Callithrix jacchus: one gene and its partners. The protein of the gene in region 3 interacts with the protein of the main gene of each other region in a biochemical or structural test. Links are inferred from orthologs where the notes say so. Each region holds a gene or a part of one and is shown on either strand. Other genes may lie near its edges.

Evidence for each region.
Region 1: the proteins of DLG1 (region 3) and ARHGEF26 interact in a test that uses a peptide from one of them, tested with the Homo sapiens proteins (2 studies listed by BioGRID and IntAct, with this or other methods). The link is inferred for Callithrix jacchus from reciprocal best matches to the Homo sapiens genes DLG1 and ARHGEF26.
Region 2: the proteins of DLG1 (region 3) and IQSEC2 interact in a test that uses a peptide from one of them, tested with the Homo sapiens proteins (2 studies listed by IntAct, with this or other methods). The link is inferred for Callithrix jacchus from reciprocal best matches to the Homo sapiens genes DLG1 and IQSEC2.
Region 4: the proteins of DLG1 (region 3) and ATP2B4 form a complex in vitro, tested with the Homo sapiens proteins (2 studies listed by BioGRID and IntAct, with this or other methods). The link is inferred for Callithrix jacchus from reciprocal best matches to the Homo sapiens genes DLG1 and ATP2B4.
Region 5: the proteins of DLG1 (region 3) and KCNJ4 form a complex in vitro, tested with the Homo sapiens proteins (2 studies listed by BioGRID and IntAct, with this or other methods). The link is inferred for Callithrix jacchus from reciprocal best matches to the Homo sapiens genes DLG1 and KCNJ4.
Region 6: the proteins of DLG1 (region 3) and CYSLTR2 interact in a test that uses a peptide from one of them, tested with the Homo sapiens proteins (2 studies listed by IntAct, with this or other methods). The link is inferred for Callithrix jacchus from reciprocal best matches to the Homo sapiens genes DLG1 and CYSLTR2.
Region 7: the proteins of DLG1 (region 3) and PKP4 interact in a test that uses a peptide from one of them, tested with the Homo sapiens proteins (2 studies listed by IntAct, with this or other methods). The link is inferred for Callithrix jacchus from reciprocal best matches to the Homo sapiens genes DLG1 and PKP4.

What each region holds. Positions count from the first base shown.
Region 1 is NC_133518.1:31,304,235-31,308,213, reverse strand, and holds the start of ARHGEF26 (rho guanine nucleotide exchange factor 26), read left to right. Parts: upstream 1-1,179; 5' UTR 1,180-1,761; coding exon 1,762-2,835; intron 2,836-3,979. UniProt on the Homo sapiens protein: Activates RhoG GTPase by promoting the exchange of GDP by GTP. Required for the formation of membrane ruffles during macropinocytosis. Required for the formation of cup-like structures during trans-endothelial migration of leukocytes.
Region 2 is NC_133524.1:53,587,831-53,591,330, forward strand, and holds part of IQSEC2 (IQ motif and SEC7 domain-containing protein 2), read right to left. Parts: intron 3,478-3,500; coding exon 3,355-3,477; intron 2,359-3,354; coding exon 2,192-2,358; intron 1-2,191. UniProt on the Homo sapiens protein: Is a guanine nucleotide exchange factor for the ARF GTP-binding proteins.
Region 3 is NC_133516.1:24,798,814-24,803,106, forward strand, and holds the start of DLG1 (disks large homolog 1), read left to right. Parts: upstream 1-1,493; 5' UTR 1,494-1,574; intron 1,575-4,293. UniProt on the Homo sapiens protein: Essential multidomain scaffolding protein required for normal development. Recruits channels, receptors and signaling molecules to discrete plasma membrane domains in polarized cells.
Region 4 is NC_133520.1:30,765,861-30,769,360, forward strand, and holds part of ATP2B4 (plasma membrane calcium-transporting ATPase 4), read left to right. Parts: intron 1-2,164; coding exon 2,165-2,362; intron 2,363-3,500. UniProt on the Homo sapiens protein: Calcium/calmodulin-regulated and magnesium-dependent enzyme that catalyzes the hydrolysis of ATP coupled with the transport of calcium out of the cell. By regulating sperm cell calcium homeostasis, may play a role in sperm motility.
Region 5 is NC_133502.1:209,372,827-209,376,884, reverse strand, and holds the start of KCNJ4 (inward rectifier potassium channel 4), read left to right. Parts: upstream 1-1,258; 5' UTR 1,259-1,282; intron 1,283-2,831; exon of another isoform or gene 2,832-2,959; intron 2,960-4,058. UniProt on the Homo sapiens protein: Inward rectifier potassium channels are characterized by a greater tendency to allow potassium to flow into the cell rather than out of it.
Region 6 is NC_133502.1:67,304,573-67,308,660, reverse strand, and holds the start of CYSLTR2 (cysteinyl leukotriene receptor 2), read left to right. Parts: upstream 1-1,288; 5' UTR 1,289-1,528; intron 1,529-4,088. UniProt on the Homo sapiens protein: Receptor for cysteinyl leukotrienes. The response is mediated via a G-protein that activates a phosphatidylinositol-calcium second messenger system.
Region 7 is NC_133507.1:71,213,881-71,216,687, reverse strand, and holds the end of PKP4 (plakophilin-4), read left to right. Parts: intron 1-1,310; coding exon 1,311-1,559; 3' UTR 1,560-2,307; downstream 2,308-2,807. UniProt on the Homo sapiens protein: Plays a role as a regulator of Rho activity during cytokinesis. May play a role in junctional plaques.

The DNA of each region.
Region 1 (3,979 bases), on a different chromosome or scaffold from region 3:
AGACATAGCCATCTTTCTGCTATTTGGCAACCAAGCACGTTGGAAGGAATGGCCACTGTTTTCACTTCATTCCTGTCATTCATTCACTCTCACCCATTAAACAAATATTAAGTACCCACCATGTGCCTGAAATAAGAAAAAAAAAAACACGACCTCTGCCCTCATGCAAATTAGTGTAACGACAAAACAGAAAATAAACATAAACACATAAAAAAATATATGTATATATACAAAATTTGGTAAGTGCAGAAGTAGCTGGGAAAACAACAGGGGCAATGGTATAAATGAGGGGACAGAGAAGGCCTTTCTGAGGCAGTGACAAGTCAGACGGTCAAGAAGGAACGAGAGAGAAGGTTCCTGAGGCTGTCAAACTTTGAATGTGGCCGAATAAATCATAAGGGAGAAAGTGATAGCGGAAAAACTAGGCTGAAGAGGTAGGGCAGTAAGTAGTCCAGTGTCTTGTAAGCCAAGGATTTTGAGTTTTATTCTATGTACTGCTGGAAACCAATATTTTTCTTGTCGTGTAAATTGAGTTTATTTTTCATAGATAGTTTTCAAGATTCAAAGCATACAAGTACCAAAAATAATTATATGAAAACTCTCCCTCATTCCAGTTTCCTAGCCACCCAGTTTCCCTCCTCACAGCTACTAGGCGTCTTTCCTACGGAAAGACTTTAGGCACAAACAAGCACATCACTCTGTTTATATTATAATGTATTTTCAGCAGTGGAGCAGCCCATCAGATAAGACCACCTGAATGCTGAAAGGGCGTGACTCTGCGTTTGAGCTCCGCACTGCTGCCCACGCATCTCACAAATTCTGCTCCGCCGCGTTCTCGGTTTTAACACGGGAACTCTAGGGTTCAGGGCTTCGTAAACTCCTTTTCGGCAGGGCTCCATAGCTTGTTCTCAAGTTGTGTCCCCCAGCAACGACCCCGCGCGCCTGCACTCCCGCGCCGCCGCCACCACCAGTCCGCAACTTCTAGCCGCAAACGCTGGAGCTCAGAACCCAGCTCAGGTGCGCTAGTTTGTTTCCCTGGGAGACTGGGGCCGACCGTAGGCACGCGGGGGCGGGAAGACAGCTTGTCTTGGCTGCCACTGAGGCGGATCTGGGCGGGGCCGAAGCGGGGGCGGGGCCAAGTGTGGGGGCGTAGTCAGGCGTGGGGGCGGGGCCGGCGCCGTCGTCGGCGGCAGAGCTCTCCCGAACTCTCGCGGCCGCACTTAGGTCCCGGACCCGGGCCACCCACGGGGCAGTGGGTGCTCCTTGGCCCCGGACATTGCAAGCCCCAGAAGGTAAATTTGCCTGGGAGCCGAGCACCTGGAACACGAGGGTACCCACGATGAGGGCGGGCGGCTGGATGGCGACAGAAGGGAGCGTCCCGCGGTCGCGAGAAAGCTGAACTCGTCCCAAGTTTCTTGTGCCTCGGCTTGCACCCAGTGAATTGGTGGCGGGCTCGTTTGGTGCGGGTGGTCTTTTGGGGCGGGAGGGACGCGAAGGTGATTGGATTAATTCTCCTGGGCCGCAGCCCAGATTTCTGACCGGGAACGCGCACCGCTGTGGTGCAGTTTTTGCCCGAGAAAGGGCGGGTTAAAGTGCGGTGCAGTGGAGTCCTGCGCTCCAGCAGGGGGACCGCCGGATTCGAAGCGCACGAGTCTGCCAGGCGTGCCGGGCTGTCGGGAGGCACAGTACCGTAACTTTTTTCCTCTTTAGGCAAGACTAACTTGGCGTTGCTCCTCCCGGGGCTGACCTCGAGGCCCGGCTATGGACCGCGAGAGCGAGGTGGATTTTTCTAGCAACAGCATAACGCCTTTGTGGCGGAGGCGGTCGATCCCTCAGCCCCAGCTGCTGGGCCGGAGCAAGCCGAGGCCCCAGTCCTATCAGAGCCCCAACGGGTTGCTGATCACGGATTTCCCAGTGGAGGACCGAGGGACGCTCCCCGCAGCGCAGATTCCCGCCCAGGTGCCCACCGCTTCGGACAGCAGGACGGTGCGCAGGAGTCCCCTGCTTCTGGGCACCCAGCAGAGAGCGGTGGCCAATGGTGGGATGGCCTCCCCGGAGTACAGGGCTGCCTCTCCTCGACTTCGACGACCCAAGTCACCCCAGGCCCCTAAAGCGGTGCCGGGCGGCTCCCCGAAGTCCCCAGCAAACGGCGTGGTGACCTCCCCTGCGCCGCCGCCGGGGCTGCGCCCCCCGCGGACTCCTAACGCGCCCGTCCCCTGCACCCCCGAGGAGGACCCGACTGGGTTGACTGCCAGCCCGGTGCCTTCGCCCACTGCAAATGGCCTTGCCGCTAATAACGACTCTCCTGGCTCGGGTTCGCAGTGTGGCCAGAAGGCTAAGGATCCCGAAAGGGGGCTCTCTCCTGCGCCCCAGAAAAGTTCTTCGGAACATAAACTCCCCCTCCAAAGGCTGCCCTCCCAGGAGAACGAGCTCCCCGAGAATCCTTCCGTGGTTTTGAGTACAAACAGCCCCGCCGCTCTCAAGGTGGGGAAGCAGCAGATCATTCCGAAGAGTCTGGCTTCAGAAATTAAACTCAGTAAATCCAACAGTCAGAATGTGGAGCCCCACAAGAGGCTGCTTAAGGTGCGCAGCATGGTGGAGGGCCTAGGAGGACCCCTGGGTCACGCAGGGGAGGAGAGTGAGGTCGATAACGACGTGGATAGCCCAGGGTCTCTGCGGAGAGGCTTGCGGTCCACGTCTTATCGCAGGGCAGTGGTCAGTGGCTTTGATTTTGACAGTCCTACCAGCTCGAAGAAGAAGAACAGAATGTCCCAGCCTGTTCTGAAAGCAGTAATGGAAGACAAGGAGAAGTTTTCGAGTCTGGGAAGGATAAAGGTAAAAGTGGGCAGGAGTGTGGGATGCCATTCACTAAACGAAAAGTAGATATGTTGGGGGTGGGGAGGGGGAGCATAGAGGAAACCAGAAGTCATTCCCTTATAATTCTGTGTTTTGCTGTTGATTACTAGTGCACATCCAGCTCTTTCTTGGCCACTTTGATGCTGGCAGGCACAGCAGAGTTTAATGCAACTCTGTGGGAAGAAGTGAAATTCATCACTTTTAACTTTCTAAGCTCAGGCAAAATTGGGGGGACAAAAAGGAAATATTTATGGCAGATTATTGGCTGAGTCTTGACCATAAAAGAGATAGCTGAAAGGGGGAGGAGCATGCTTAGAACTGCACTGGACTGCCTCAAGTTGTCTAGTGTTTGCTTAGAGGTTTCAGCCAATGGTAGCTGTTATCACAGCTGATTCAGAAAAATACTGATTCCTGTTTGAGCCTGTTATTTTCTGCTTTTACTTACTGAATTGTTTTTTGAGTGGTTATTACACACTTGAAGTCATTCAGGTAAAATGCGAGTCTTAAAATCAATTGCCAGGATCATAAAAAACACATATATTTTGTTATCCCTTTGCTTGCTTGTTTTTGTCACCAGGCCTTTGGTTGTATGTTAGTCCCGTTGTAGGCTCATTCATCCTTGAGTGCATTAACAAGTTGGTAGCTGAAAACGTCAGGTTAGGGTGACACTGTGTGGTATTGGTCACCTATATTGTCCCGTTAGCTGCACTTACCAAAATATTGCCAAGTATGACAAAGAAATAGGAAAACTTAAGAGGGAAATTTTGGAGTGCGTGCTGCCGTCCACAGAAACAAGACAGAGCTCAGCAATAGGGCAGAAATCTTTTTGGCAGCCACCTATTTTCTTGATTAATCAGAACACTGGAACTAGACTATATAAATGTCACATATGTAATATACAAGCAAGCCTGTTTTATTTTAGAGCCTATGGTCTTAAAGAAAAAAATTACATAACATTTTAAGTGTTTTTTTCCAACTCTGCAAGTATAACAAAGTTCAATTTAACAGTGATGGTGAATCACAAGTAGTAAAATGAACTGACCTGCTAGTCATTTGAGGATTCTCAATCTGTTTTGACAGGGTGTGAGGGATCTTGAACATTTTATTTCACTATTTCAATGAA
Region 2 (3,500 bases), on a different chromosome or scaffold from region 3:
TATGTATGCATGGGGGAAAAGAGTAGAATGCACCAAAACATTAACTATGATTGCCTCTAGGGGACGAACTTTGGGTGATAAAAAGAAATTTTCTAATTTTCAGAATCTCTCAAAATTTCTGAAATAATTATGTATTACCTTCATTTATTTGTTTATTTATTTAATAATTAGAGGGGAGAAAGATACACACACACACACACATATGTTGAGAGAGAGAAGGAAAAAGAATGGATGAATGAATGATGGCAGGATTCTAGCAGACAGCTCCAAATGGCCTCCGATCTACCTCCGTCTTCCCATGTTCACCATCCTTCTCCACTTCGATTGCTGAGTGAAACCCACTCACTCTTCTCTCTAAATACTCTGCTAGAGAAAATGTTTTCTTTGCAGGTTGTGGAGGCTCACACCTGTAATCCCAGCACTTTCAGAGGCTGAATCGAAGCAAGGAGTTTGAGACCAGCCTGGGCAACATGGGAAGATCCTGTCTCTACAAAAAATTTAAAAATTGGCTGGGCATGGTGGCACATGCCTGTAGTCCCAGCTACTCAGGAGGCTGAGGTGGGAGGATCACTTGAGCCCAGGAGTTCAAGGCTGCAGTGAGCTGTGATCACATCACTGCACTCCAGCCTGGGTGACAGAGTGAGACTCTGTCTCTAAAAATAAAAAACAAGAAAAACAGAAAACAAAAAAAGAGAAAATGTTTTCTCCCTTGGAAATGAAACATCTCCTCCTTGGACGGGTGCTAAAGGAACATCCTACGTCACACTGACTTTCTTACCATAGCAGCCTCAGCTGCGCAAACCCCGATGGGCAGCCAATTCGTCTTGTTTTCAGTTTGCTTTTTTTTCTTTGCCTCTATTTTCCTCTTTCTTTTCTGTTTAAATAATCTTGACATCTGTACCATTTTTAGTAGGCTGCTCTTTGGTGATAGGCAGGGCTCGACATCAATAGAATAAGCAAAAAGAGCAAGGCGACACCTTTCATCTGGCATTCAAGTCCCTCGTATATTGGTTGCAATGGACCTTCTCAACCCATCAGTGACCTCATCCCAATTGTTTTTCTTCTTCTTCCTCTTCCTCCACTTCTCCGTCTTCTCCTTCTTCTCCTTCTTCTTCTTCGACAGAGTCTTGCTCTGTCACCCAGGCTGGGTGCAGTGGCGCAATCTTGGCTCACTGCAACCTCCGCCTCCCGGGTTCAAGTGATTCCCCTGCCTCAGCCTCCTAAGTAGCTGTTATTATAGGCATGCACCTCCATGCCTGCTAATTTTTGTATTTTTATAGAGATAGGGTTTCCCCATATTGGCCAGGCTGGTCTGGAACTCCTGGCCTCATGTGATCCACCTGCCTTGACCTCACAAAGTTCTGGGATTACAGGCATGAGCATTCAGCCGTCAATTGTTCCCTAAAGAAAATAAATGTTCCTGCCTCTGCGCCTTTGTTATTCTCACTGCTAGGTAAGCTCTCTATCTCCATTGTGTCACCTTCTCCATGCCGTCAAGACCCACCTTAAAATACAAATACTGCCCCCCTGGGAAGCTAGGTAGAGGTGGGCTCTCCCTCTGTTGAGCTCTGACTGCACTTTCAGCCTCTCTGATGTCACTGCTCACTTTCTGCCTTATGTTAGTTATCTGGGTACAAGTCAACCTCTCCCCAACACGGGGAGCTCTCTCAGAACAGGGACTATGGCAGACTCCCCTTCATTGTCCTTGGCACCCATCATGGGGCTTGGCACACACTAAGTGCTAAGTGTTGACTGACTGGCTGGTTGTTTGTTCAAGTGATAAATGAATGCATGAATAGAGGAAAAGGTACCCAAAATAATTAAATGAGTCCTCAGGGGGGCATAAATAAGAGAGGGAAAGAGGGAGTGAGGAAAGGACAAGTGAATGACTGAATGAATGAATCAGAGTAAGCGTTCTAAGAGTCAGGACTTTATCGTGTTCACTGCTTGAACCCCAGGACCTAGAAACCTGGTACACAGTGGAAGTGCAGTAAATACTCAGTACAGTGGGCAAATGACGAATTGAGAGAATTAATAAGTGAATATCCTAGGAACATCCAGCCAGGGCAGAAAGTGACAGCAACACAAAGTAAGTTCCAAGGAACAGATGGGATATCCTGCATCCTTCCCCACCTTACCCCCCAGTTTCCCTTCCCAGGTGAAGGGCAGGAAAAGCTGATAGGGAAGTCACCTCTCAGGTTCTTGATGAAGTCATCTAGTTTCATCTTTCGTTCAGCCTTGACGCTGGGACTGTACATGTCGGTATTGAGGAGGATGATGGCAAAAGCAAGGATGAAAATGGTGTCTGGGTTCCGGAACTGGCGCACGAGGGCTGGGTTACAGACACAGTACCGCTGGCTATAGGGCAGGAGGGGTCAAAGCCAGATTCAGGAACCAGCCATCTCTGCCTACCCACCATCCACCCAGTCTGGCACCACCAACTCTTTCCTGTAAGCAATACTTCCTCGATCTCTGGGTCTGTCCTCTTCAGAGTTTCCCCTAGACCAGCATGTAAAACTCACAATTGCCACCTTTTGCAGAGCTCTTCCAGGGGGTTTATGTACATTGTTTCATGTAATCCTATCATAATCCTGAAAGGAAGCTACTGGCAGTCCCAATTTACAGATGAAGTGACTGAGGCTCAAAGTGGTGAGGTAACTTGCCCAAGGTAATAGAGCTGGTATATGGTGAAGCCGGGATGAAAACCCAGATATTTCTGAATGCAAAGCAAATCCTTCTCCCATTATGAGAAACAAGTGCTCAGCAACTCCTGTTTCTCTTCTAAATACACTAAAGTGGCGGAGCCAGGATTTAGACCCTGGTCTATCTGATCTCCAAAGCCTTTACGGCAGAGTAAAATGGTTAAGGGTAGACTCAGACACATACAAGTTCAAATCCTGTATGACTCTGGGCAAGTTACTTAACCTCTCTAAACTCCTGATTTCTCTTTTTTTTTTTTCTTTTTTTAAGTTTCTTTTTGTTTTAAACTCCTGATTTCTCATCTGTAAAATGAGAATAACAATCGAAGCGCCTACCTTATGAGATGGTTGTGACGATTCGGTGAAATAATCACGTTAACGTGCTCAGCTCAGAGCACCTGATACCTAGTAAGCACTCCGTGAATGTTAGCTACTATTGCTGATGTTGTTGTTACTTATTGAATGCCCCTGTCCTGGGGCTGAGCTAGATACCTTACGTGCACTACCTCTGATCCTCATAATTGCCTTGTAAGATAGGATTTATCATTTCTGTTTTATGGTCAAGAAAGTATGTGGCTCAGAGAAGTGACTTGTAAATAGTACATCGATGCCCACAGGAGGGAGGGGCAGCTTTGTGAGTGGGAGGCAGGCACACCTGAAGGCTTCGATGAGTCGCTCCACTTTCTGGGCCTCACCCTGAACCCGAATATGGGACTGGAACTTCCGGAGTGCATCATCCAGATCCATGGAGGAGAAGTCCATCTCATCCACCACACAGCTAAGGAGCAGAGAAGGGGGTGT
Region 3 (4,293 bases):
CACGGTGGCTCACACCTGTAATTCCAGCACTTTGGGAGGCCAAGATGGGCGGATCACGAGGTCAGGAAATCGAGACCATCCTGGCCAACATGGTGAAATCCCATCTCTACTATAAATATAAAAATTAACAGGGCATCGTGGTGTGCACCTGTAATCCCAGCTACTTGGGAGACTGAGGCAAGAGAATAGCTTGAACCAGGGAGTTGGAGGTTGCAGTGAGCCGAGATGGTGCCACTGTACTCCAGCCCAGTGGCAGGGTGAGACTCCATCTCAAATAATTGATTAATTTAAAAATTTAAAAAAGACCTGGAGTGGGGTGGAGGATGATCTGGGAGGTGAAGGAAATGAAACAAATGGAATCGGTTAAAGCAGTCTTGTGATTACTCTTGTATTGGACTTTGGAACAGCAGAAGTTCATGTATTTTTCTTAAAAATGCCCATCACCCCCTAGACTGATGGCCCACTTGAGCTGTATGTATACTGGTGGCAAACGAAAAACATTCAATGAAAGAAAATCTTATTTATGTGGTTTTAGTTAGCAAAAATTTTTTTAGAAGATAGCATCACTTTAAAACTCTAGCAAAACTTATTTTCAGTTTTTTTTTTTTGGTGCTTATTAACGAAAACCCTGCAATAAAACAAACAAACAAAACCTCTTTCCAACAGCCTGGAAGATTTTGCACCAAATCTTCCATATATAATATATATAATTAATTGTGATTACCTTTGGGTGGTAGAATTGGTGACCATTTTCTTTTGTTTGCCTCTCTGCATTTTTTTTTTTTTTTGGAGAGGGGCAGAGTCTCACTCTGTCGCCAGCCAGGCTGCAGTGCAGTGACACGATCTCAGCTCGCTGCAATCTCTGCCTCCCAGGTTCAAGCAAATTTCCTGCCTCAGCCTTCTGAGTAGCTAGGACTACAGGCACACACCACCATGCCCAGCTATTTTTTTTCTTTTTTATATTTTTAGTACAGATGAGGTTTCGCCATGTTGGCCAGGATGATCTCGATCTCCTGACCTCCTGATCCACCTGCCTTGGCCTCCCAAAGTGCTGGGATTACAGGCTTGAGCCGCCATGTCCGGCCTGCCTGTCTACATTTTTTAAAGCAATGAAGAAGAGGAAAGATGCCTTTAAAAATATATTCTAAGTAATATTCAGTGAAATGTAAACAGTTTGAGAATGTTTTTCATGATAGACACAGATTTGAAGAGAGGGAGAGTATTAGTTGGCAGCCTAGAATTTGCAGCTTGGACTTTATTTCTCCCTATCAAGATTATAGATTGGTTGTACCAGCCAGGGAGCAAACAGCTGACCTCAAATCACATGCCAATATACTCACAATTGAACAATCATTGAAGAAGCTATAAAGCACACAAAATGCACAGTAGTTAAAAATAATAAACAAATGACGCTTCTGTGTTTTCTTGCCTGAGAACAAGGGCCTGTTCTTCTAGTCTTTATAACAAAATAGTGAGACTCTGTGGAAAAAAATACAGCAGTTGGTAAATGTTCTAAACGAAGCATTGCCAGTACATCATAAACTCCGAGTGCTTCTGACTTCACCTGTGATTGGGTAAGAATGCTGACTGGCTCCGAGCAGGTGGCCAGTGGGCCTCTAGATATTAATTCATTTCAGAAAATGGCCATTAGGAAATTTCATTTTTTTCTTTCTTAAAGTCAAATTCCTGAATTTGGTTTTTAAAACAGGAGAAGTATTTCCTAGTGAGAAAGTGATTTATTTAGTTTTTCCACGTTACTGAAACAAGCTTATTTTTTTTTTTAAGGTAACATCGTTCAAAGACAGATTAGTTGATAAAAAACAGTTTAGAAAGACTTGCAAAGTTTCCATTTGGGAAGCAAAACGTCTTTCTATTGCATTTATTCCTGTGTGTTTGACATAGCGAGGCAAAAACAGAAGCCCTGCTCCGTCCTCCGAATCAGCTGCCCGCTTTGGTTTCATGGGTTTTGTTTCCCTTGCTACCTGGGGGAGAAGAGTTGTGCTGATGCTTACTTTTCGGACATCCAAATGGTGGGGATGGTTTGTGGCAACCCCTCCACTTGCCAGTCCCGAAATACTTTTTTAGTGCAGGGTCAGGCATCCACATTTCCCTGAGGGAGCTCTCCTGGATAGCTTGCCAGGACACCACAGTGTGCAACCAAATACTAGAGTATGAAATGAAAGAGGCGATGGCGGTATTTGTGCTTGATGGGCAGAGAACTGAGGATGGCAGGTCAGCTTGCTGGGCTCTATTCCAACAAATGTCCTTTAGACAGTTGATCTCTTTGCTGGGCTGAACTCTACTAGATACCGTGTGGGATTCTGGTGACAGGAGGGGAATAATTGGAGATGTTTGTTGATTTCAATGTCAGTTGACATATCTTTATTGGGCATCTGCAATGTGTTAGGTGCTAATAGATGCAAATAATTTTACAAAGAAGAAAGTTAGACCTATGAAAGTATTTCATAATTTACAGTGAGTTTTCCTTTGCATTACTTCAAAGAAGATACAAAGGCATGGTCCTTGCATTCAAAAATTCATAATCTATTAGGTGAGATAAAATATGTAGATAAATCATTACATTACAGAGTAGAATACAATACAGGTCACTAGAAAAAGGGCCAGACCCTGACCAGGGAATGAACAACTATGCTGGAGTCGCATGCCAATGCTTGCCCACCTCAGCATTCAAAAGAGGGACAGGTCACATCCAGCTCTGGTTCCAGCTGTGTCTGAGCAAGATGTACATGACAGAATCTGGATGTGTGAATAGAGAGAAGAGAGTGGTTGTACTTTTGTCACCTTCAAAGTACTTAAAGGGTCACACTCTTGGTTTTGGTTTCTGGTTCAACGTCTCCTGGAGGATGTGTACAACAGCCATTTGGTTGCTTTTGCAGAACCTGTACTTTTTTTGTTGCTGCTGTTGAGAGAGGGTCTCACTTTGTCACCCAAGCTGGAGTGCACTGGTGGATCTCAGCTCACTGCGACCTCTGCCTCCTGGGTTCAAGCGATTCTCCTGCTTCAGCCTCCAGAATATCTGGGACTACAGGCATGCACCACCATGCCTAGCTAATGTTTGTGTTTTTAGTAGAGAATGGATTTCACTATGTTGGCCAGACTGGTCTTGAACTCCTGACCTCATGTGATCCACTCACCTCAGCCTCCCAGTGTACTAGGATTATAGGCATGAGTCACCATGCCCGGCCTGAGCCTGTACTTTAAAATTTTAAATCATTTTTGGAGCCCACAAGCTAATCGAATTGTAGCTGATATTTCAAGTGGAATTAGCCTGGGTACAGTGGCTTATGTCCATAATCTCAGCACTTTGGGAGGCCAAGGCAGGCGGATGACTTCAGATCAGGAGTTCGAGACCAGCCTGGACAACATGGCGAAACATCATCTCTACTAAAAATACAAAAATTAGCCAGGTGTGGTGGCACATGCCTGTAATCCCAGCTATTCCAGAGGCAGGAGAATCACTTGAACCTAGGAGGCGGAGGTTGCAGTGAGCCAAGATCTGCCACTAAACTCCAGCCTGGGTGACAGAGTGAGACTCTGTCTCAAAAAATAATAATAATAATAATAATTCATGTGGAATTAAACCTCTTGACAGTGGTCTAAGTTTCACTTTTGCACCATTTTCTAAAGCACCACAATTTAGGGAAAACTTTTTTTCAGTTGTGGGGGATGATTTATAGACCTCAGTCACTTAGATGATTAACTTGGTCCTAAAATTTGTAACTCTTCAATACAAGTTTACAAAATTCATCATGGTGCCTAGGGGAGACCTCTCTTGGCTAAGGGATAGTTTTTCAGTAAACATTTTTTGTTTCAACTCTTTATTCTGATAAATATTCTAAAATGGTGTAGAAGGATTTATTGCCTTGGTAATGAGGAGACATTATTATTTTCTTGGGAAATGTAATATCATGTGGTGTCTCAAATTTCTTATTCTGAGTGCCAGTTGCTATTGAACAGGGCTATAGATAAGGAAGATAAGGGCGTTATAAACGAATGTGTACTGACGTCGGAAGTTTCCTTGAAAACAAGTAACTTACTAAATTTCCTCTGATATAAGTGTATGTGTGTGTTGTTCTTCCGATAATTTAAAAAGAATTTTAAAAAATAGTAATTCATTAGAGATTCTGATTAGTCTGATATTTTTGCATTTCCGGGTTTGCTTATAATTTACTGCATTCATCTGGTTCTGTGACTCTCATGTCCTGATGTGTCCAGAAAGGTCAAGACCTGCCTTAGAAAGTCTTCCACATTCATTCAGCGAGAGAAATGAAG
Region 4 (3,500 bases), on a different chromosome or scaffold from region 3:
CCTCCATTTTGTCCCTGCAGCCCCGTCATCCACTTCTCCTTATTCTCTCTGTGGAGCTTGGTTGAATTTCCCTTTCTCTGATTCTGACCCTCCTCAGTTGCTAACCTTATTCCAAGACAAAAGTCGCCCCACCCTGCCTGTGGGAAACCCTTCAAACAGCCGCCAACAACTTCCAGTGCCAAAACCAGGACTAATATGCTTCAGCGTGTGAACAGCTTGGTGAATACCAACTCATTAATCACCACAGTAGGATTTCCCCTCTTCCCTTAAAGAGTAGCCCCCTGGGCACCCGTGAAAGGACCCAAATATAAGGAAAGCACTGAGCATAATTCTGCCTACCTCTTGGCCCTCTGGGAGAGTGCCTAGAGAGTATGTGTGTGTATATGTTTGTTGTCTGTGTTATGTGTGGTATGTATGTGGCATGTGGTCTGTGTGTGTGTGTATGTGTCATGTATCTGTGTGGTATGTATTGTGTATGTGGTTTGTGTTTGGTGTGTTTGTGTCTGTATATTGTGTATGTGGTGTGTGGCCATTCTCCTACCTCATCCTCCCAAGTGTGTGGTGTGTATGTGTCTGTGTGGATGTGGTGTGTGTGGTACGAGGTATATGTACACACTTATGTAAGGTATGTAAGCATACATATGTTGGTGGGAGGATGCTGGTAACCAAGTACTGTGTAGTGTCTGAAAACTTTGTGGCCTCACCTTTCTTATTCTCTCTCTCTTTGTTTATTTTTTTTGAGATGAAGTCTTGCACTGTTGCCCAGGCTGGAAAGCAGTGACACAACCTCGGCTCACTGCAACCTCCGCCTCCCGGGTTCAAGCCATTCTCCTGCCTCAGCCTCCCAAGTAGCTGGGATTACAAGCATCCACCACCACACCCAGCTATGTTTTTTGTATTTTTAATAGAGATGGGTTTTCACTATGTTGGCCAGGCTGGTCTCAAACTCCTGACCTCGTGAACCACCCATCTCAGCCTTCCAAAGTATTGGGATTACAGGCGTGAGCCACCATGCCAGCCTTCTCATTCTCTGTATATTCAACCTGGGTAGTAATACTTCTCTTAGTAGTTACTTAGTCCTTAATAGAATGGTAGTACCTTTCAGTGGTATGTGTCTGTGCCTCTGTGTATGTTTGTGTACATGCACATGCACATACGCACACAGGTGTGTACATGTGTGTGATAGAAAGGGAGGGGCACATGTGCTTAAAGGGGATGCCCACAAGTTATAGTCTCAAAGACTGCTCTGATGCTCTCCTAAAGCTCCTGGATCTTGGAATCAGGACATGTGTGATGATGTGATGATGCTCTGTCTCCATCTTGCATGACCTTGAGCAAGGAGCTTGTTCTTCCTGGCCTTTGTGTGTGAGCCAATGGATGGCAGCTCACTCTGCATTTAAATCACCCTAGCATTTACCTGTTAATGTGACATAAAAGTTCTGTGTGAATCCCAAGAACCACTTTAATATTTACGTTCTCAGAGCTGGGGCCTGGAGCATACTCAATCAGTAGCAGATGAGATTTTATGTCTGGTTAAGAATTTATCCAGCTTATACTTGTTATTAAGATAAGTGAGTGGTCCCATGGCAGACCAGTTTCATTTTGCCCATTTTAGACTGAAAGTTCCACCTTCTCTGAGTCCTGGGCAGATTGGTTGTCTCTAACTGAATCTCATACTTGTGTGAATCACGAAGAAGGGGATCTTTTTTATCTATTTATTTATTAAATTATTTAATTTTTGAGATAAGGTCTCACTTTGCTGCTCAGGCTGGAACGCAGTGACATGATCACGGCTCGCTGCAGCCTCAATCTCCTGAGCTCAAAACAATCCTCCCACCTCAGCCCCCTGAGTAGCTGTGACTACAGGTATACCACACCATGCCTGGCTAATTTTTGTCTCTTCTGTGGAGACAAGGTTTCACCATGTTGCCCAGGCTGGTCTCAAACTCCTAAACTTAAGTGATCTACCCACCTTGGCCTCCCAAAGTGCTAGAATTACAGGTGTGAGTCACCATGCCTGGCCTTTTTATTTATTTTATTTATTTTTGAGACAGTGTCTCTGTTGCCCAGGCTAGAGTGTAATGGCTCATTGCCACTTCAAAACTGCCTTTTATCATTTTCCATTTTTTCTGCATGTATTCATCCACTCCTATCTCTTTTTCAGGTCTATCAGGGAACCCTGCAGATCTGGAGAAACGTAGGCAGGTGTTTGGACACAACGTGATCCCTCCCAAAAAGCCCAAGACCTTCTTAGAATTAGTGTGGGAAGCCCTTCAAGATGTCACACTCATCATCCTGGAGATTGCAGCCATCATCTCCCTGGTCCTGTCTTTTTATCGCCCAGCTGGCGAAGAAAATGAACGTGAGTGTCCTAAACAGCTCAGTGTGACTCTGATTCTGGGTTCTTTCCACCACCAGCAAAAAGCACTTAAAACAGGTTATGTGGCTGACAGGTTATAGCTTAAAACATTCCCCTATTATCCAGAGTGGCCTTTCCAAAGGAAACCAACCAGCAGCTACTAAGCTATTCTTCCAACTCATCCTTATTCCAAGGGTTCCTCCCCACCCCACCCCCCACCCACTTTCTCCCATTAAATCCTTTTTCAGAATGTCAGGAATCTTCTACCCTTTTAAGAAATTTTATTTATTTATTTATTTATTTATTTATTTATTTGTTCATTCATTAATTCATTATTTTTAAATGGATTCTTGTTCTGTCACCCAGGCTGAGCGCAGCAGCTTGATCTGGACTTACTGCAACCTCCTGAGTTCAAGCAATTTTCATGTCTCAGCCTCCTGAGTAGCTGTGATTACAGGTGCCATCACGTCTGGCTAATTTTTATATTTTTAGTAGAGACAGGGCCTCACCATGTTGGCCAGACTGGTGTCCTAACCTCAGGTGATCCACCTGCCTCGGCCTCCCAAAGTGCTGGAGTTACAGGTGTGAGCCACTTAATAATTTATTAATAATAAAATAATTTTATTATTATGTCCCCAAACCAGCCTATTTAATAATTTTTGTGACATAGAGACAAGATCTCACTATGTTGCCCCTGTTGGTCTCAAACTCCTGGGATCAAGCAATCTTTCCGCCTCAGCCTCCCAGAGTTCCGGGATTACAGGTGTGAGCCTGTAATCCTTTCCACCACCAAAAAGCACTTAGTATTGGTGACTGACAGGTTATAGCTTAAAACATTCCCCCTGTTATCCAGAGTGGGCTTTCCAAAGGAAACCAACTAGTAGCTACTCAGCTATTCTTCCAACCAGGAATTCTCTACCCTTAATCCAACCAACAAAACCCTGCATCTTAAAGTGCCCCCCCACCACCAATTGTCTGGCTTTTTGGGAAGTAGCAGTGAAAGCCTGACCATGTTGGGAATCATAAGTGTGACCTTACATGTGGCTTGCCTAAATTTGATAGTTTGTACTATTTAGTCACGTGCATTTTTGGATTAACGTGAGTAGTTACACTGGTGATAAGACAGTACTCAATCCTGCTA
Region 5 (4,058 bases), on a different chromosome or scaffold from region 3:
GTGTACTTGTGACACATGTTTACCCGTGCATCTAATGTCTTTGCTGATGTGTGCATGCCCCTCGGTGGGCATGCGTGGGATTGTACTTGTGGTGTGCACAAGTGGATGTAGAGAACTAGGAGAACCTGTGATCGTGTATGTGTGGGAGTGTGCTGAGGGGTCCTGGGTGTGGGGGCTTTTTCTCCCCCATCTCCTATCACCTGAGTGACCTTCTTCCCCAGCTGAGGACTGTGGCTGAGGTCACAGGCACGCATGGGACAGCTCCTGCCCTTCCATAGACCTGTGTCTTGGGCCAGAGTGGGCACCAGGGGCCAGGGTGGGTGGGTGAACCTGGGGCGAGGACTCATGTGCCACCCCCTCCCTGCCTGGTCTCCTCCCCTCCCCACAGCAGGAGCAGCAGCGGGAAAGGTTGGCGGAGGGGGGCTATTTTGGGAGCGTCTCCTTAGCAACAGCTGCCACGGCCGTCTGTGGCGGTTTTTCTATAGGTGCTAAAATATTCCACCCTGGTGACTACTGAGTGCTGGGGGGTGGGCGAGGGTGGAGGTGGAGGGCAGGAGAGACCCCTACAGTCCTCTGTCCCCAGGGCACAGCCTGCTGGGATGGATTCTGGCCCTCTGCCCTCCCAGTGACCCTTTAATTGCCTCTGGACCTTACCACCTGGGAGCTGCTGGGATTTTAGAGCTCCAAGGGTGTGTCCTGATCTGATTTCTAATCTAAGCAGTTGGACTTCCTCAGTTTGCCTCATCTGCAGAATGGGCTGGCTGGACTTTTTTCTTTTTTTGAGACAGAATCTTGCTCTGTAGCCCAGGCTGGAGCACAGTGGCAAGATCTTGGCACACTGCAACGTCCACCTCCTCCCAGATTCAAGTGATTCTCCTGCCTCAGCCTCTGAGTAGCTGGGATTACAGGTGTGCGCCACAATGTCTGGCTAATTTTTGTATTTTTAGTAGAGACAGGTTTTCACCATGTTAGCCAGGCTGGCCTCAAATTCCTGGCCGCAAGCGATAAGTGATCTGCCCACCTCCGCCTCCCAAAGTGCTGGGATTACAGGCATGAGCCACCACACCCAGCCCTGGCTGGACTTTAAGACACTCTCTAGGCCAAAAACCTCTGGACTCTGTGACTCTAGCATTTTGAAGTGGCCTTTTCCTTTTCCTCCTCAGCTGTCCACCTGCCAGTCCCAAGTCGCCCTCCCTTCCGCTCCTCTCCGCCCTCCACATGGGCTCTCAGGGCTGCTGTCGGACCCAGAAGGCATGAGAAGTCCCCCAGAGTGAGCTGGTTGGTGAGTACTCTGCTAGCCTGGAATGACCTTTCCCCTAGAAAGTGAGAGCTGAGCCTGGTTCAAATCCTGGCCCAGACAGCTGCTTACTGCCTGATTGACCCCAGACAAGCCCTTCCCCTCTCTGAGTGTTAGTTCAGGGTCCTCACCTGTGGGGTAAAGACACGCATAGCCCATACCCCATAGAGCTCTTGTGAGGATCAAGGGAGAGAACAGAGAGGAGATGGGCAGGACACATTGCCAAAGTGTATGGACGGACAGAGGCTTCACCAGCATTCCCCTCTAAACTTCAGAGTGAGCCTCTCTTCTCCAGACCATTGCTTCCAGCCACCCCAATCATGCCACCCATCCCATGACTCCCCATGCCTCAGTTACCCCATTGGTAGTAGGTGCCTGTAGCACAGCATTCTTGCAAGAATGAAAGGAGACAATGCCTGTCAATGTCTGGATAGTGCTGAGCTGGGGGCATGAGAGAGGGAGATTCAGGTTGTCCTCACTCCATGGCGGGGAGACGAATCTGTGCTGGATCTTGACAAGGCCCATTGGGAGACCCAGTCCACACTGTCCCATTACAGATGAGGCCTCTGAGGTCCAGAGAGGACATGAATCTTTCCCAGGGACACACAGGTTCTGACATCCATGCCTTTCCCCAACCCCCTCACATTCCTCCCAGGCCTCTGCATGCCCATTTCCATCTCCACCCCCCACCTCACACAGGGCTAGAAGCTACTCTCACATAAGGTGAACAATGTGGAGTCTTCCTTTAGTCTCTGATTATCCTCAAAACAGCTGCTCCACCAGGTCCAGTGGCTCACACCTGTAATCCTAGCACTTTGGGAGGCCAAAGGCAGGCGGATTGCTTGAGCTCAAGAGTTTGAGACCAGCCTGGACAACATAACAAAACCCCATCTCTACAAAAATTTGCTGGGCATGGTGGCGCACATCTGTGGTCCCAGCTACTCGGGAGGCTGAGGTGGGAGGATGGTTTAAGCCGGGGAGGCGGAGGTTGCAGTGAGCAGAGATGGCAGCACTGCACTCCAACCTGGGTGACAGAGCCAGACCCTATCTAAAAACCAAACTAAAAACAAACACACACAGATATTCAAAATAGGTGTTATGTTTTCCACTTGACATATGAGGAAACAAAGGCCGAGAAAGGAGAGGTGGGCTGCCCAGGGTCACGCAGGGCGGGAGAGGAGAGAAAGGACTCTTTCCTGGGGTCTCTGAACCTCTCCCTGCCTGGAGCTCCTCTGGTTGCCTCTCCCCACCTCCTCCCAATCCAGTCTTCTTGCAGGATGAGCAGCTGCCTCAGGGCACAGCCCAGGCCTGGAAAGGTGACCCTCCTTGCCCCAGAGCCCCCATCCCATCTTCAACTTTGTGCCTAGGGACCTGGCATCAGGGGGCTGATCCTGTGAGAGAAGATGCTTTGGATCTACAGACATCCCTGTATCCATGTTCCCCTCCTTTCTGCTCCTTCCTCCACCCCCTGCACCCCACACTCCCAGGACAGCTACCAGGTCAGGCCTGTGGCCAAGCAGGTCATTTGTCTCACCTTCATCCTCCCACTTTCAATCCATGCAAAAGGGTGAGAAAGACCAGGCACACATCTGTTGCCGACTGGGCACTCAGGCTGCTTGAATCTCTCCTGCATCCACGCACTGAGCGTTCATGTGATGGAACATCAGTCCTAGCTGTCTGCCTGTGAGGACACAGCAGAGTAACCAGGGAGAGGCGTGGAACAGGACGTGCGCTGTGGAGGTCCGCACAGAAAGATCCCTGAGAAAGGACGGTCACATGTATTGAGCGCCTACCATGAACTGCTCATTTTGTGGGCATCCACCTCATTTAATCTGCCTCTGGGGAATGGGGGACGTCAGGGTCCTCAATCTACAGACAGGCTAAATTAAAAACATGTTCAAGGTCAAGTAGCTCTCAGGTGCTTTTGAGCCTAGTTTAGCCTGACTCCTCAGCCCACTAAGCAAGAACCATACTTGTGCCCAGCCCAGGGGCTCGTACGTCGTGGGTGCCTAGCGCTGGCTGAATGAACGAGTGGGTAATGAATGACTTCTGCTGGGGTCATCAAGTGGCTTTCTCAAGGAAGTGGCACTGAGGCCGGGCTTGGGAAACAGCAAGGAGTCTCAGGGCAAAGAAGGTGCTAGGCGCATTTCAGGCAGGGGGGAACAGTGAGTGCAGGCAGAGAGGTGCAGAGGCCTGTGGCGTGTTCTGGAATCTGTGGAATCAGGGTGTACCTGTTGGTTTATGGGATGTCGGATGCCGGCTAAGGTGGGACCTGGCTATACCACACTGAGGAGCTGGGACTGGATCCTTTTGTGTAGGGCGAGCCCACAAGGAAGAGAAACACTTACGGTGGTTTGTGTGTTGCTGTTCTTATGCTGACATCCTTGGGGCTCAGAAGAGTCAGAGGGATTTCAGATTTCATAGGTTCTCCACCTGGCTTTGGGGTGCCTCAGTCTCTTCCTCTCTGCACTGGGTCTAGTCAGTGATAGCCAGACTCCCAGGGAAGTTCTTCTGGCTGTCTAACTGCAGGTGTTCTCTCCTCTCACTACCCTCGAGGCAGGAGCACTTTCCCTCCGGTCTCCTCAGAGGGCTAGAGTGAAGTGGCAGGATGGCCAGGAAGTAGCTGGCTCAACCCGAGCCGTGGGCGCTGGGGGTTCCCTGACAACCCAGAGTGTGGGGCCCAGGCCTGACAGCTCAGGGTTATGGAGAACGACGGAGAACAGGAGACTAGGGTTTGGTCCGGCTCTGTCATCTCTGGGTG
Region 6 (4,088 bases), on a different chromosome or scaffold from region 3:
AATTAAATGTTGTTTCAAGCTTTTTGCCCCCTAAAGATGAGAATGATAATATAATATGTGTAGACTGTGAGTTCCGTGAGTTCTAATTGAGATAAATAAAATATTAGAAATAGGATCCCAGGCCCAGGAAGAACCTTGTCTTCAGAGGAGCAACCTTGGTCCCAGCCCCTCTCCACAGCTGCATGAAGAAGCTGCACAGAAAACCCTCACCCTCACCCCCAGTTCTGGAGTGTGAAGGTAAGATCTACATCGTCCTGGTGATAGTCATTGTTGGAGAACTCTGGGACATGCAGGAAATAGATCCAGGGCCTCTTCCTTTTTATTGACACAGCAGCAGCAGTTTGGAGCTTTCCAGGAAGACCTACTTTTTATTTCCCCCAAGTTTCAATATTTGGGGCACTTGTGGGAACTAGAGATGGGGTGAGGTTTGGCTCTTGGCACTAGGCTAGAGTTGGGCTTGAAAGGGATGGGGAAGGGCGCTAGAATCAGTGGTCTTCAGAGTTGAAGGAGATCTTGGGTGAGGGGATAGCAAGAACCAGGGCCTGTCTTTCCCATGGCCATGGGGCAGCAGAAGGCACAAGGAGAACAGCGTATGTAGGGCTGTGTTGGAGATGGTTAGGGAGCTCTCCAGACCCTGCTCTGGGTTCCAGGCCTGGTGTGACAGTGACTAGCTGTGTGCCATGACCACGCTGCTCAACAAGTCTGTGCCTCTGTTTCTTCATGGGTGTCATGAAGGGACTGGACTCCCTGTTTGTTTAGGTCTGTTCAGTTCCAGCGAACGAACTACAAACAAGCAAAAAAACCAAGCCTGCCTTGTTTATTTTCAAGAAAGCATTTGCTAATTTCTTTCCAATACAGCCAGTTCCCTTATTTACCATTTTGTGCTCCTCTCAGGCCCCAAAATAGTGCTTTTTATTTTTAGAGATAAGCAAATAGTTCAGTTTGACTGGAGCATGGGAAGAAAGTGGGAAAGCAACTGATAGGAATAGAACTTGAAAGGAAATCTGGGGTTGGACTATGAAGGCCAAATTACTCCTAGACGTGGGCATAAGAACACATTGTCCTGGTGCCATTCTTTGACCAGAGAGAACTAGCCCCTTGGGACAGAAAAGGGCTGAATGAGGACCAGACACAGATTAGAGCTCTCCCTGATCCTCATCCAACCCCTTTCTTGACCCGAGGGGGCTGGGAGTCTGTGGGGCTAAGGGACACTTCCTTGTTTGTACTGTGCTCTGGATACTTGGGAAGTCCCCAGCCAAATGTCCTCAAATGCTATGAGCTGTTCCCTAGTTGCATCAGAGCATAAAGTTTGTATAGCCCTACGTCCTACAGGTGGCCAAGAGCAGCTGCTTTCAGGCATTGGGGACAAGGACATGAGGGCTAGAATTCCCCATGCCTAAGTGTGGAGCTCCTCATACGTGGGAGGGAGCTGGGAGTGGGAAGAGGACGAGGACAGCTGCAGGCTTTACCAGCTCTTCTGAGGTGGCCACATTCCAGCCCAGACCTCAAACACAAAGGAGTCTGAGAAGTGAGTACAAATGTATAGTATGGGGATCTGACAATTTAGAAATGAATATTTAATGCTACAAAAAAGTAGTGATGGTGGGCAGGGCATGGTGGCTCAGGCCTATAATCCTAGCACTTTGGAAGGGTGAGGTGGGCAGATTAAAAGGTCACGAGTTTGAGACCAGCCTGGCCAATATGGTGAAACCCCGTCTCTACTAAAAATACAAAAATTAGCTGGGCATGGTGGCGCGTGCCTGTAGTCCCCGCTACTCAGGAGGCTGAGGCAGGAGAACTGCTGGAACCCAGGAGGTGGAGGTTGCCGTGAGCTGAGATCGTGCCACTGCACTCCAGCCTGGGCAACAGAGCAAGACTCCATCTCGGGGGAAAAAAAAAAAAGAGTAGTGCTAGTGATAAGCTCTACAAAACAGACTACAGCAGAGTTAGGGGGAGTATATGTGTGGATAACTATTTTAGAAAGGGAGGCCAGTGAAGTCTTGTGGGAGGTAGTGGCCCTTAAGTAGAGAGTTAAGTGGAGTGAGGAAGACAGGGCAAAGGCATCTCAGCACAGGGACTTGGACCAGCAGCAGGGAAGGCCATGTGGCTAGGGTCATACATGCATAAGAAGGGCCAATCAGGTTGGGCTTTTGCAGATCATGGTAAAGATTTTTATTTTGAATAATGTGTGTGCTCCTTTTTACCAGCCATGAATGCTATCCATTTGTTTATGTGATTAACTCATCAAAGTTTATAAAAGTTATTTATTACTCTTTAAGGAAGAGAGGTGTTTATTTTGAGAATCGTGGGAAGTCACTGCAGGGTTTTTAAGCAAGGGAATGAACGATATGACCTGCTCTTTAAAAGCATCACTGTAGCGCAGTAGAGCAGTGAGAGTAGAAACAGGAAAGCAATTAGGGTGTTACTGTAGCGTTCTTTTTCCTTTTTCTTTTCTTTTGAGACAGAGTCTCACCCTGTCCCCCAGGCTAAAATGCAGTGGCACGATCTCGACTCATTGCGACCTCTGCCTCCCGGGTCTAGCAATTCTCCTGCCTCAGCCTCCCAAGTAGCTGTTATTACAGGCACCTGCCACCTTGCCCATCTAATTTTTGTATTTTTAGTAGAGATGAGATTTCACCATCTTGGTCAGCCTGGTCTCAAACTCCTGACCTCAGGTGATCCACGGACCTCAGCCTCCCAAAGTACTGGGATTACAGGCTGTGCCTGGCCCTCTTTTTCTTTTTTTTTTTTTTTGCTTTTAATATTGATGTCAGTATTTCTTTTTTTTTTTTTTTAATTTTTATTTATTTATTTATTTATTTTTTTTTAGGGAAAAAGAGAAAAAGAAGGGGAAAAAAAGAAAAAGAGGGAAAAAGGAATATTACTTCATTCCTAAAATGGGTTTCAATAATGGCCGATCAATATTTTGAGTGTTTAAAGTGGTTAATGCATATTTTATGTGTTTAAAATGGAGACCTCTGTTGTGTTTATTTGTTCTGGTTCTGAGTTCAAGTCCTGGATATCTTATCAATTTGTTGTCTCGTTGAATCTAAATCTCATTATGTGTCTTATGTATCTGGGTGTTAAGATCTCTTATTGTTGTATTAATCCTTTTACCCTTGCATCCTTGTAGCTTTGAAATCTATTTTATTAAGTGTGAGAATTGCAACTCCTGCTTTTTATTTATTTATTTTTGCTCTCCATTTGGTTGGTGAGCTTTTTTCCATCCCCTTGTTTTGAGTCTTTGTATATCTTTAGATATATCGTTAGATTTTGTGGATAATGAATATTTTGTGTGTTTAAAATGGAGAGCCCTATTGAGTTTATTTGTTCTGGATCTTAGTTCCAGTCCCGGATATCGTTATCAATTTTCTGTCTCGTTGAATCTAAATCTCATTATGGGTCTTATGTATCTGGGTGTTAAGATCTCTTATTATTACATTAATCCTTTTATCCTTGTATCCTTGTAGCTTTGAAATCTATTTTGTCAAATGTGAAAATTGCAACTCCTGCTTATTTATTTATTTTTGCTCTCCATTTGGTTGGTACGTTTTTTTTTTTTCCAACCCTTTATTTTGAGTCTATGTATATCTTTGGATATACCGTTAGATTTTGTCTGTATCTTTTGATTGGGAGGTTTGGTCGATTTAAATTTAGGGTTGCTGCCGTTTGATATTAACTGGCTATTTTGTCCTTTCATTGATAAAAATTCTTCTTTATGTTAATGCTCTTTACTTTTTGGTGTATTTTTAGAAAGGGTCATACTGGTTGTTCCTTTCTGTGTATAGTGCTTCTTTTAGAAGTTCTTGTAAAGCAGGCCTGGTGGTAATAAAATCTCTGAGTACTTGCTTGTTCCTAAAAATTTTTATTTTTCCTTCAAATGTAAAGCTTAAATTGGCAGGATATGAAATTCTGGGCTGAAAGTTCTGTTGATTAAGTATATTGAATATTGGCCCCCACTCTCTTCTAGCTTGTAGGGTTTCCGTTGAGAGATCTGCTGTAAGCCTAATAGGCTTACCTTTATGGGTAACTTGATCTTTCTCTCTGGCTGCCCTTAATATTTTCTCCTTCGTTTCGATCTTGGTGAA
Region 7 (2,807 bases), on a different chromosome or scaffold from region 3:
GAGTCCATGGCCAGGTCTCTGTGTCTCAGTGGTCAGACTGGACTCAGCCCCTGTCAGGATGAACTGTGGGACTGGTGGTTGTAACACACCTAGGTCTTGCTCTCATGAGGGGCCTGCAGTCAGTTTCAGGTCCTTCCCGATGCCACGGCAAACCTGGACCACCTGGTCTCTCCTCTTCCTTTTTAATCCCACGGAGCAGTTGGAGTTTCCTAAAACAAGACTGTTTTCTGTCCTTCAGATAAGGATGTGCTCTAAGACCGCTCCTCATCATCTTTTCTCTGTAGATGGAAGAAAAAGTACTTTCTAAGTTATTCATAAAAGATGCTATAGTTTTTTAGTCAGGAAAAATAGACCAGAAGCATAACTCAGGCTTGAAAAGAGAATTGGCTCTGAAATCCTTATAATGTTAGAATGCCTTGAGTTCCAGGACATGACATTGATTCCTGGGTGATAAATTCGTTACATCTTACTAAGTAGGGGGATTTGGGCATCAGCAGGAAGATAGACATAATAACCATCACAATTTGAAATTAACGTGAGATCAAAGCTAAGACTAGACAAAAGGAAATGGAGAACAGGGTGCCCTGTGTGGGCACCCCTGTGTACCTGCCTTGCCCACTTACAGATGGACTTAGCCTTGGCTTGAGGAAGCCTTTTCCTCTAGAACCGTATTTGCTCACATATCTCTCCTAATTTTACTGTTCTTCTGCCTTGAGATTGTTGATTCCTTTAATATTACGACTTACAGCAGAGTTTCTAAAGTGTGACTATTGTTCACATAGCCACATACATCTTTTAAAATGGAGGGGTGGACTCAATCTTCATATCTGAAGTAAATGTTTTAAAAGATGGTTCTGTAATTATACAGTTATCCAAGGCCCAGAAACCCAATCCTCGACTAAATTAGTGATATACTAATACCCTATGTCAAAGAAAATACCGAAACCATCCTCTCATTTGGCATGCCCAGGTAACATGTCCCTCCACAGCTGAGCAGACAGCAGGGCCTCCAGTAATGAGGGGAGGTCGCTGGGGCCACTTGCCCTGAGAGCTCAGGCTCTCCTGAGGCACCTACTTCTCTAGAGGTCTTAGGACAGGAAACTCAGGAGCCCGCCTGAGAATGTAGCGTGCAATCCTTAGAGTCCAATGGTAAACACACAGTGTGCGCCAGAAACAGCTTTAACCATAAGCTGCAAATATTGAATTCTGCTTTAAAAATATGAAGCAGGAAGCCCACATTAATTTTCCTAACACGTGTCTTTTTTAAAAAAAAATGCTTTTATTTATTTGCCTTTTCATTTTGTCAACAGCATCAACAGCTGTATTATAGTCAAGATGACTCCAACAGAAAGAACTTTGATGCGTACAGATTGTATTTGCAGTCTCCTCATAGCTATGAAGACCCTTATTTTGATGACCGAGTTCACTTTCCAGCTTCTGCTGATTACTCAACACAGTATGGACTGAAATCAACCACAAATTATGTAGACTTTTATTCCACTAAACGACCTTCTTACAGAGCAGAACAGTACCCGGGGTCCCCGGACTCATGGGTGTAGCATCAAGACGCCCGACAGAGGAACTTTTTCTTTCTAACCTTGTTTGGATTGAGGTGAAGTCCGTCTTGCTGATTTGATGATTGAAATATGAAAGTGAAGTGGAAGGAATGAGTGAAGTGCATTTTTTTTCTTTTTTGAGGAATTATCAGGGAAGTGAGGAAATGTTTGGGAGAGGACTTTCTAAGCTCTATTTAGTTGTTAGATCTAATTACTTGTAGATTCTGTAGTCTGGTGAAGGTGTGGGTGACGTGATGAGAGGTTTGAGAAATGGGTGAAATGAAATGGGGGATGTGTAGGTCAAATCCAATTAAAGATGATTTTTTTAATGTGAATAAAGTTATGTTCTGATAGTTTGTACAGAAAAAATAAAATGGATGCCCATGTTTTATCGCTATTACTAAATGTCAAGATTGTATGCTATTATGTCTTGTAAATTTCTTTTGTTGGTGTAAATATGGAAATGCCACATTGGTTAAGTGCCATCATTTGTAATGCAGTGTGTCACTTGAAAAGAGAGTTGAAGAAACTGACAACTTCAAAAAGAAATGGGAAGCCCAAGGAACTGTGAGCAATTAAAATCAAACTGCGACGTCCTTTGTCTCCACCATGCATAGTGTACTTTGGAAGCACAACGTCCAGGCTGGTACCGCAGCGCCATGCCCATTCCTCGCCTCGTTCATAGGACACTTCACTGCCATTTTCTATGCACATGAAAGAAAAATAAATGTGGAAATTTCATCCTTGGAAATGTGTTCTCTATTCTTTTTAAATTTTCTGTATGTATATGGAAAAACAGATCTAGTAAACATAAATGTAACTGCATGTAGGAAACAACATACATATATCCAACTATTTTGGACTTTTCCTAGTTTTATACAGTTAATACACTCTGTGAGATGGACCACACCAAAGAATTAAGCTATGAACTTTCCTCCTCTTGTTTTTCTAGGTATTTTGTTTCTTGGAATCTATTTTGAACCTAGTGCACTTAACAGTTTTATTATGTTTTTCTCAGACCCGTATGTACATATCATCACTCTTCACCTAAGGCAAATTACATCTGGCAGCCTGGTCATAACTAAACTGATACTTTTTTGGGCATCATTTTTAAGAACTCAGTAACTTCATAAGAACAATGGTTGGGCATTTATTTGGTTGGCACCAATATAACAAACCAAAACAAATTCTAACTTATTTATCTTAATTCCATGAGTCAGTAATTCCTGGGTTAGGAATGGAGTAGGGGGA